Linked DNA regions of Daphnia pulex. The protein of the gene in region 3 binds, or shares a complex with, the protein of the main gene of each other region. Links are inferred from orthologs where the notes say so. Each region holds a gene or a part of one and is shown on either strand. Other genes may lie near its edges.

Region 1 (4,394 bases), on a different chromosome or scaffold from region 3:
ATCAAATCTTCATCTTCTTTATTATTCTGAAGATTAAACGGTCCGTCGAAATATTCAGGACTAATGCTTTCCAAATGAAGGATTCTATCTTCAAGGGCTTTCAAGCGTCCGTACACATCCAGTGGAATAGGTTGTTCTCTTGAATTAAAACCCAAGTGTTTTTCCATATTTTGTAGCCGTTCTTGGATAGCAGGAGTCGGATTCAATTTGGTGTTTACTGAAGATGGAGCCGGAACTTCAGAGTGTGTTTGTGGTCCCCACATATTTACGCATCTCGACACTAAAACGTAAAGAAATCAGTAATCAGCGTTGAATCCTTAAAATAAAATAATTTTACCCTTTAGATGACTTTTACTATCTTTTCTGCTTACAAGCACTGCCTCTGTGCGAGCACATGAATTCTCTAATTCGTTTAATGGTAGTCTGTGACAGAACTCCTGAACGTTGAATACGTCCGACTCTGATCGTTTCCGTTCCATAAACGCAGTAATTCGTTTTCCCAACTGAAAAATTAAAAACATTTAAAATATTTATTGAGAAAAGACTTGATAAAAGTAAAACGGATCAACAATACCTCTAAATTTGAAGCCTTGATCTGAACGCAATCGGCAGCTGCATAGTCCACCATTATTTTCCTCTTTTTAGATAGACTAGCGTCTTCTTCTTGATCTATATCAATTCAAAACATGCTATTGACTATTAAGCATCTATCACATCAAGCAAATATTCCAACAACTCATTCTCATGGAAATAAAAAATTTCAAATCCCGAATTTCCCCACCTAACAAGATTAGAATATTTTCGTACTTATTTTTTTTAATTTTGACTAATAAAAACTTCTGAACGCTTGTGCTTTCTTTAAGCCATACTTCTATAAGCCAAATAATCAAATGACGTACGCGGCAGTGAAGGGAACAAATGCAGAAGTCACAACTAAATACTAAATAAAGGACGTCTATGTGTGGTTGTCCCTATTCCGTCAGATAATTAGCTTAAAGCTTATAGGCAGCAAAGCTGTCGAACCACACGAAAACGTCTAATAGATTGAAGCAGTGCGTAGAATGCAGCATTGCAGCTACTCATCTTTAGAATCACACAGTATATGTTATTATATAATGAAAGGGCAAAGATTGGAAAGCGTTGGGAACTGGAAAGTACTTGGATAATAAGTAAAATGAATGTTAACATTGCTTAGTTAAAAAATAAAAAGAGAATTAAAAACCCTTAAAAACCTTATATTTTAAATGTCAGACTTGACAGCACTACGTAGATATTATCACTTTAGTAAGATTGAAACTACAGCCAAACTAACGTTCATGCTCCGATTTTTAACTAATGAAAAGTACTGGAAACCATTTCAAATATTGTTCTGATATCGGAAAATCGATTAAGGTTCAATATTTGTGTTACTTGTTAAGAATCAGTACTGTTATGAATTCAAAATTCATACAACAAATAGGAACAACTAAGCATTATTTGTTTAATTTTTACTTGTCCACAGGCATTCTTTGTTGGCTTTCCATTCAGGAGCACCATCACTATAAAGTTCTTTCTTCCAAATTGGTACAGACTTCTTAAGCGCGTCAATCCCAAATTGAACAGCCTCTAAAGATTCGGCTCGATGCTCGGATGAAACAGCTATTACAACACTTGCTTCACCAACCGGAACTTCTCCCAATCTGGAAAGAAAAATAGGTAATTAAAACAAACAAACAAACAAAAAAATGTTTCTTAAGTTTCCTCATTATAACTACAGTATGGTAAAAAAAAAAATTATACCTATGGTGGAATGCAATGTGTTTAACCTTCCATTTTTCTCTAATATTCTCACAAATTTTCTTGATTTCTTTACATGCCATTGGCTTGAAAGCTTCATACTCTAGACTAATCACCTTAAATATAAAGCAAATTTGATTTAGAAATATTTGACTTTAGATTATTCAAATTGACATTACTTTCTTTCCTTCAAAATTATTCCTTGTTGTTCCCACAAATAATGACACAGCTCCAGTAGAATGTTCAACCACTTTAGAGTAGATTGAATTCACATCAAGCTGTTCTTCAACTAAGTTAATAATATCCATTTTAAAATACAATTGAAGGGCTCTGGCGAATTAAGCTGTAGCACACTGCTTATGAAGAATCCTAGCGACCTAGCCACCACTTAATGGTGGGATCACTGCAATTTCCTTGCAATTTTTAATGTCTATAAGCTGATCAAATTCAACATATTCTTCATCAGCAGCTAGGACAATGTTCTTTGATATGGATTCTAGAGCTGGAAATTGTTCTGTAATGATGCACAAAAGATTTGCCCCAGTGATTCTTGAAGTTGTTCTGGAAAGTGAAATATTGTCAAAATCTTTTCCAACTAACTCTCTGGCCTTTGCAAAGAACAGAATCCGAATAACTACTTCATCCATTGATCAAGGTCAAGACTACAGCATCCCTGACTATAATTTTAACCAGATTTGTTGACATGTAACAATCAATAAAAAAATATATGTTAATTAGTTGTCACCGCAAAAGTAAATTTAACTTTGAGTAGTAATCTTGATTAGCAATACGCTCTTCTTATGCGTTGACTATGTGTCTGTAAAACTGTGACAGAGGCTCGGCAATCAGAAAAGCGTCTGGTCACTGGTCGTCTGCTGGCACTGGCAAGTGGGAAGTGGCAATGACATAAAGAGACTAAAGCGTATTTTTTAAAAATTCAAAAATTGTAATATGCGCGGAGTTTTTCTTGCGCGCAAAATATATACATTAATTTTATGCCCCCTTATCTGCAAGAAGCCAACAACGATGCAAATATTCTATGCAACTTTATGTGTATTGTGTATAGATGTTATACCCTTGAAAAAGTAGTGGTCTAGCAAAAAATCGTGCGCAGTTTACGCCGATGCGCACCACAGCGGCAGATAGCAGAACTAAACTTTTTATTACGCTTGACTACCTGTCTACTTCAAGAAACGAGACGAGAACCGACTGCTTGTCGAACAAAGGACTTGAAGTAGACAGGTAGTCAAGCGTAAAAAAAAGTTTAGTTCTGCTATCTGCCGCTGTGGTGCGCATCGGCGTAAACTGCGCACGATTTTTTTCTAGACTACTACTTTTTCAAGGGTATAACATCTATATCGTATCAGAGCGATCGTATTCGTTCACCGATTCTTTCATAATCAACAATTTCATAATATTCAAATTTCAAACTATGTGCATACCGGCATACTATTGTCAGGGGTATGGAGAGATTTATGGAGATATCTTTCTCTCCATACCCCTGCTATTGTTATTTAAAAATCCGACAAGTTTTTCTATCAGACACCAAATAAAATGACAGGCGCATTCTTATGCTACTGGAGTCACTCCTCTATGCGACTGTTAAGTGTTTACTTTCTCACCATCACTCCTTGTGTCACTACTAACACGGGAATTTTCGTGATTTTAATAATTAACAGTAACTATGAGGCGGGTGCGGTAGTTGAATAAGGAAAAATCTAAATATATAGTTCCTAGACTACAAACAATCCAAAAGTTTATTTGTTTCGAATTACTCAATTTCAAATTTCATTCGACATTTGAAAAACTCGGTAAACGTTATTGACAATGTTTTCAAATCACAGTGGTTTTTCCTAGTCAATGTCAAATAACACATAGCATTTCCGCATAACACAAACATTATTTACAAAACAAGGTTCGTGAACAAATTTCGGGGTTCACATTCAAACCAAAATACCGTTTCATATTACAACGATGAGCCTAATGGACTCGAAAAAAAAACACTGCGGCGTTTGGGAATTTCAATCAGCAACTCCCTGGGTTTTAAGCTTAGTATCATTAACGACGATAGAATCCCCGATGTTGACACTAACCAATGATGCAATTTCGACCGCCGATTCGGCGATTGGGACGTATTTATCGTCTATTTTCAAGAGAAGGATGACGCGATCCACGTGCGATCTTTGTCGCGAATCTGGATGATTAGGCACCCAACGATGTACCACCTAATCAAACACAAAGTACAGTAAAAGGAAAACTATTCACCCATCGCGTATAGTTTTCTTACCTGTCCTTCCATACCCACTTCGGGAAGCCATGATTTCCAATAAGATTTTCCACCTTGGTTACGAATTGTTGGACTTGGCCAGAGAACATCAATTCGTCGGCCCAGATTAATGGTATCGTAGACTTGATTGGGATCGACAATCTGAGTAGAGAAAAAATAAGTAAATTAATTTACAAATATACAATTTAGAAGAGCTTTAAAAAGTACCTTGACTCGTTGGTCGACAGAAATCCTGTTGTCCATAAACGGCTCCGTTTCGTACAGAGGTCGGTCAGTGTCGACAGTTTCAAGTCTGTCGAAACGGTCGCGTCTAGAACGATCTCGTCTGCGA
Region 2 (2,752 bases), about 350 kb from region 3:
TAGATATGACATAGTTGATGTCATCAGGGGTTAACCCATTCGCCTCTAAAGATAGTAAAATGAGATTGGTATCCCAAGGTGTCATTGTATCAACAATTACTGAAAAAATAATTTATTAACTGTTATCACGTTATTGCGAACATATTTGGATTGTGCTGTTTGTTACTATTTTTACTGCCGGTAACCAATACGCATGAGCAATTTGCACGGACGAAAGGAAGATTTTCGTCTTTTTCCTCAATTGTGGTAGAAGAATATCCAGTATGTATTACTGTAACACGGTTGGAGTTCGCCATCCTTTTAGAAATTAGAGTAGCCCTTCTAGTGTCAAAATGTCAAAAATCAAAATCAAATGTTTTGTTTTTTTAGACTGCTTTTTTCGCCATCTATGGGTGACACGCTGAACTTTGCCATTTTGCTTATTGCAGCAGCTGTGGTTTGAAAATAACGTACGCTAAATTGAGGGAGAAAAAAATACGGACACACCCGTTTAGGCTAACAAATGGTCACATAAAACCGCAATTAATTAATTACAACAGTACATTAACTGCAGTCTATTGAACCACCAAACTATCTTAGTTGATGTGAATCGTAAAGGAACAATGGGTTCAATCAATGTATTTGAAATTGAACTTTCCTTAGTGGAACACTTATAAATATGAGCAAGTAATGTTGAAGACAGAAATGAATTTGAATAAACACTCAAAACAAGTCACCATTTCCTTTTTCCTTCAGAATTTCTTGATATTCCTTGTATGTTATTTTCTTAGGAACCATATCTGAAAACACAATAATAATAATAAATTAAAATTTTACTAATACCATTTAGTAACACAGTACCTTTGAGAAACTGCATAGAATCACTTTTTTGAACAATGTCAGCTAGACCTTTGTAAGTAAGCTCATTTGACTTTTTGGTACTTTCATAAATCTCTTGGGCTAAATGTTCTACAAAAAACTCCTTAAAACATTGAAACATTTTAGATGAAGATGAGAAAAATAAGATGAAAAAATTATCTGGAAACAAACTAAAAATACCGTTGCTTTTGTTACAAAGTATAATGCGTCAGTGGATATGCTCTCAGTATCTGGGGAACTCTTCATAATCATTTTTACTCGTGCTTGTGGTAATATTATGGAGCCGTCTCCTAATTTCGGTTTAAAGGAAGACATTCTTAATTTAATTTCACTTGATTTAGTCCTTCACTTCAATCAATTCAGCAATTCCGCGCCACTACAATTTCTAACAAAATGCCAAAATAGAAATGTTCAAAATATAGTCTGCTGACTTTTACAGCACTGCCAAGATGTGATCAATGAAAATTGAAAATGCAAGGAGCATATTTTGTCATTAATTTGTTCATAATAAATTGATACCAATTGTATTAATAACTATTTCTAAATTCAGTTGCTAGACTACGATTAGTCCAAAATTCAAATACATTCATCTCCAATTATTCTTTATGTGTGCCGTAACAGCAAATTATAGAAATGCAACGTTGTAGCAAAGCCATCACACTGATATATCTGTCTGAACCATGGTCTGAAAATCGGAACTCTTGATAAGAATTTAGAAGTATTTGATTACTTGTGTACTTGTGTTGTGTAAACATTGATGTGTGGTAACAAATTTATACTTCTGCGTGGAAATTGATTTTAGAGCTAGTTATGGCTTGTTTATCAATGGAAAATCGTCCTCTTAAAAAATTGAGATTAGGACCGCCCGATGTTTACCCACAGGATCCCAAACAAAAAGAGGTAATATTTTGAATGTAGCTGCAGCTTTTTTATGAGCCCAAGTACGAAAATGCTAGTTGCCAAAAGGCAGTTTCATTTAAAAAAAAGGATAATTCTTTATGTTTTCCTTTCATTAACATTTGGAATACTATTTTTAGGATGAACTGACTCCTGTCAATGTGAAACAAGGATTTTCTCATACACCCAATCTTAATCAGTCTGAAGAGTATGGATCTGCTAAAAATCACAACTTTTCTTTATCAAAGGTAAACTACAATTTACTGTAATTAGTATGATGTTCATAGATTGTTCTAGGCTGACAACCATTTTATTATTCTTTCCTAATGTTAGGTCCAAACTTTTATTAATGGAGTGCTTACAAAAAAACAAGAAATCAACACATTGCCTGATACTGGCCGAAAACGCCAACTCATCAATCCCAAAGAAAATTTCCATAATGTTACTCCAAAGTCCAAGGCATTCATTGAGTCTTGGTTCAAAGACTTAGCAGGCAGCAAACCTTTGATGAATCTAGGAAAAAGAGTAATATTATACTCAGAATATCTTAAACAAATAAAAATACCAACTTTTGATTCCTTTTACAAGGTGCCAATATTCAACAAGAAGGAAGAAATATTTATCCAACTAAGTGAATATCAGGTTCCTATGTCTAGAGCAATATGGTTAATCAAGATGACATCTGCGTATTCAGTGGCTATTTCTGAAGCCAAAATGAAAAAGCGTCAAGTTCCAGATTCCTCTCAAGGTAGTTTCCAAGATTTAAATAATTTATTTTATCTGCAATTATAATCATTTTTTTGTTATATAGAGTGGACTAGTACATTGGTCCGGTTCATAAAGGAACAAATTGTGAAACTACAAGATTTCTATCAAAAATCCACAAATAGTGGAGGAACTTCTGCTGCATATGCTTCAAATGCTACTGCATATCATAATGGTAGCCCTTTGATGAGTGATGAACAGAAGCTTGCTCTTCGCCAATTTAATTATTGCC
Region 3 (3,026 bases):
AGAACTTGCTCTCGGAAAATCGTATACAACTGGCTGACTTGCTTTCCCAGTTAATAGAGCAACAGCAGCTGCGTCGTAAAGATCTAAAACACCTCTTGGAAGAAATGGAAGTCCAGCGACAGAACCAAGCGGCCGACTATTGGCTTGTCCAGTATCAGCGTCTAATCGATAACATGCCTGATAATATTCAACATGCACAACAGTATCTTCCAAGTGCGCCTTCCTCTGTACTCGATGATGAGGAGGTGGCATCCGCTCCTCCGATGGAAGTTTTTATGGAAACTAATTGCGTCATATGCTTGGACAGTTCAGTAAGCTTACATTTATTACAGTTCAATTTTTCAAAACGAATTCATTCTAATTGCATTTATATTAAACAGTGCCAAGTTATATTCCTTTCTTGTGGACACTTATGTTGTTGTTCTGGATGTGGCAACAAGCTAAATCAATGCCCAATGTGCCGGGCAACCATCGTTAAACGACTGCAGGTTCACTCATAATGTTATTTATTTGCTTTTTAGCTTTTCATCGGTCATATCTTTGTGCCTTTGGCATCCTAAAAAAAATGTTTTCTTCATTTTTATCTTGTCTGTTGCTACTGTCGTTTCGAGACGTAAATCACACTTTAATTTTCACAGTATACAAACTATTTGAGGTCGTGTTTTTTTTTCTTTTATTAATTTTTTTGTCGTGCGAATACAAATTTTATCACACATTTTTTTGTCATTTAAGATCATTCATCCACTTCTTCATCCTCATTCTCCTTTTCATTTTCATTATCATTTTCATTGTCATTTTCATTATCATTTCCATTATCATTTTCTCCACCTTCATCTGATCCTTCTTCAATATCTTCCGGTTTTTTGTCGGATTTTTCCTGTTTCCGTTTAGCCATAGCTTCTTTGCGTTCCTTCTGTGCTTTCTTGTACACTGTAAAAGAAAAGAACATGTTGACATTCTAAAAATTGTTTTGAAAAAGAGAAATTACCTTCAAGAGAAGCCTGTAGTGGTTCAATAAATCTTTCAAATTCCATGTCAGCCATTGCTCCCAGGACATCCGGGCCACTGATGATCTTTATTTAACAAAAAAATTTTAGTAAATAATTGAGAGAATGGAACAAAATTTTCTGATTCTGTGATTCACCTTTCTGTTAGCTTTCATAGCCAGATTGTTAGAGCATGATGTGCAATAGAGAACAAATACAGAAGCAGCTTTAGCAATGGCGGTTCTAGCCTCTTTAGACACATTAACACCTTCTGGCAAGGATTCTTTTATGATTCTTGCTACTATTGAGTTGGGAAGGTTTAAGTCTTCAGGTCGTTCTGCCATTGCTTACGTACCTGGGAAAATCAAAACAAAATTCCTGTCATCAGCTAGATACATTAGTTGAACAAAACATATATTTCATCATATGAATTCTATTCAAATCAATAAAGAGAGAAAATGTCACTTATTATTTCAAATAATAACACCATTTAGTCATTTCCAAGAGATTTCTAGAAACTTTTTAAAAAATTAACTACACTTGTTACAAGATTTTCATAGGAAAAAGAAAACATCCTACCTGTCAAAACTTCTCCTACAATAATTTATTTCCGATTATACCGAAACCAACACTCCGACACTTGAAAACTTCAGATTTTTGCTGAAACAAATACACAGTCACAGTTGATGATTTCGATGTTGCTTCTGCTACAATAAAGGGCGGGAAAATAAGAAGTGCCAAGACCACATCGCCATCTGTGAGTAATATTCTAACCGTTTGCACAAATAAGTTTTTCGCCCCCGTTAGACCAGCAGTCGCGAGTCGCATAATAAAGAGGCGTATGATAAAGATAAATAATAATTTTTTTTATGTAGCACGAAGAAGATAAGCAGATCTTAATATATGAACAGACAAGATATAGGTTAAATATCAAACTAGTGAAATATCAATTTTATTACACCAATATTTAGTATTTACAGTACATTGTTGCTTCAGCAGCTTAGATTGGTTATTCTAACTTGAACCGATTTTGTTTTACTAGTATTATTTATTGTATCTTGAACAACACTTGGATGTTAAAACAAATCGACATGAAAATTTTAACAATCGTGATCACTTCTGTTCTTATTAGATTCAATAACGATTTTGACGGAATGGATGGAGATCACCAAATATGACGTACGCAAAAGACGGCAAAAGATCGTTAGACTTGTCGTTAGATAGTGTCAAGAGCGGCATGTGTAATAGGATAACAAACTTTCCTCCTTTTCGCCAAGCCACTCTACATCTCCGAGTCAAAGGGACCCAAACTTCCTTTAGCAGCCAAAAGTTAGATTTCCATCGATGCTAATCTTACAAGGGAATGACTGTTGTGTGTACCTGAAAACTTTTGAATGGATAATCGCTTGCTATACACCCGTATATAGCCTATAGGGAATAATAGATTGCCAAACGCCGAAATTACGAGAAGTTAGATTATTGATTTGCGACTCTAACTTTCACTTATAAAATTCGTTTCTCGGAAACCTCCTACCATCCCCAGTCGCCTACAAATCAGGTCATGGAATTCAAGACAAGTTTGATCCAAAGATATATTTTCAAATCCTACACAAAGTGTGAGAGTCGGGAATCAGAGAAAAGGCAGGATATGCCCCGGGATACTACTCATCCACTCCGACTCCAGGCAACGGATACAAAACTGATATACGCTGTGTCGCTGTCTACCATTGGCCCCTTCAGACCTACATCCGCCCACATCGGAAACTGTAAATCAGACGTGGATGGAAAAACAAAAAGTTGAAGAAATAAGTCTGACGCTCTTTTGAATGAGACGGATAAATGAACAAGTTTTGCTTACTCCCAAGTTTCTCTATAAATAAATAACAACAATTTAAGAAACAAATCTCTACTAAAATAATGGTTCATCTTTTTTTTTAAATAGACTAGGTAATCAAACTGTCTTTAATCATCGTTAATTTCATATATAATTTTTCCGATCTCAAAATTTTTCAAAGACATCAATCGCATCATTTTTTATCC

The links.
Region 1: DNA polymerase epsilon subunit 3-like (region 3) and molybdopterin synthase catalytic subunit-like share a complex: the UniProt entries of both Drosophila melanogaster proteins name them as parts of the ada2a-containing (ATAC) complex. The link is inferred for Daphnia pulex from reciprocal best matches to the Drosophila melanogaster genes Chrac-14 and Mocs2B.
Region 2: the proteins of DNA polymerase epsilon subunit 3-like (region 3) and chromatin accessibility complex protein 1-like are in contact, whole or in part, in a crystal structure (PDB 2BYM), measured with the Drosophila melanogaster proteins. The link is inferred for Daphnia pulex from reciprocal best matches to the Drosophila melanogaster genes Chrac-14 and Chrac-16. Residues at the interface, in NP_476646.2 of Drosophila melanogaster: Ile15, Leu18, Ile19, Glu21, Ala22, Leu23, Pro24, Glu25, Ser26, Ala27, Ser28, Val29, Ser30, Glu32, Ala33, Ala36, Ile37, Arg39, Ala40, Ala41, Val43, Phe44, Ala45, Phe47, Val48, Thr49, Lys62, Thr63, Ile64, Thr65; in NP_001285148.1 of Drosophila melanogaster: Thr35, Gly36, Leu37, Thr39, Asn40, Glu41, Val42, Phe44, Leu45, Met46, Lys48, Cys49, Thr50, Glu51, Leu52, Phe53, Val54, Arg55, His56, Leu57, Ala58, Gly59, Tyr62, Arg69, Pro70, Gly71, Glu72, Ala73, Leu74, Lys75.

Annotation. Positions count from the first base shown.
Region 1 is NC_060026.1:10,881,552-10,885,945, forward strand, and holds the start of molybdopterin synthase catalytic subunit-like, read right to left. Parts: upstream 2,811-4,394; 5' UTR 2,085-2,810; coding exon 1,956-2,084; intron 1,893-1,955; coding exon 1,780-1,892; intron 1,680-1,779; coding exon 1,492-1,679; intron 670-1,491; coding exon 575-669; intron 504-574; coding exon 338-503; intron 281-337; coding exon 1-280. Other genes in the region: pecanex-like protein 1, read right to left, coding at 3,798-4,001, 4,064-4,204, 4,271-4,394. UniProt on the Drosophila melanogaster protein: Catalytic subunit of the molybdopterin synthase complex, a complex that catalyzes the conversion of precursor Z into molybdopterin.
Region 2 is NC_060025.1:6,928,121-6,930,872, reverse strand, and holds chromatin accessibility complex protein 1-like, read right to left. Parts: upstream 1,290-2,752; 5' UTR 1,174-1,289; coding exon 1,039-1,173; intron 962-1,038; coding exon 841-961; intron 780-840; coding exon 703-779; 3' UTR 604-702; downstream 1-603. Other genes in the region: metallo-beta-lactamase domain-containing protein 1-like, read right to left, coding at 1-99, 167-296; mediator of RNA polymerase II transcription subunit 12-like, read left to right, coding at 1,669-1,758, 1,896-2,003, 2,089-2,280, 2,344-2,503, 2,567-2,752. UniProt on the Drosophila melanogaster protein: Histone-like protein which promotes nucleosome sliding of ATP-dependent nucleosome remodeling complexes. Part of the chromatin-accessibility complex (CHRAC) which uses energy/ATP to increase the general accessibility of DNA in chromatin.
Region 3 is NC_060025.1:6,579,607-6,582,632, forward strand, and holds DNA polymerase epsilon subunit 3-like, read right to left. Parts: upstream 1,714-3,026; 5' UTR 1,566-1,713; intron 1,365-1,565; exon of another isoform or gene 1,342-1,364; 5' UTR 1,331-1,341; coding exon 1,145-1,330; intron 1,074-1,144; coding exon 989-1,073; intron 931-988; coding exon 734-930; 3' UTR 657-733; downstream 1-656. Other genes in the region: E3 ubiquitin-protein ligase LRSAM1-like, read left to right, coding at 3-311, 381-500. UniProt on the Drosophila melanogaster protein: Accessory component of the DNA polymerase epsilon complex. Participates in DNA repair and in chromosomal DNA replication. Histone-like protein which promotes nucleosome sliding of ATP-dependent nucleosome remodeling complexes.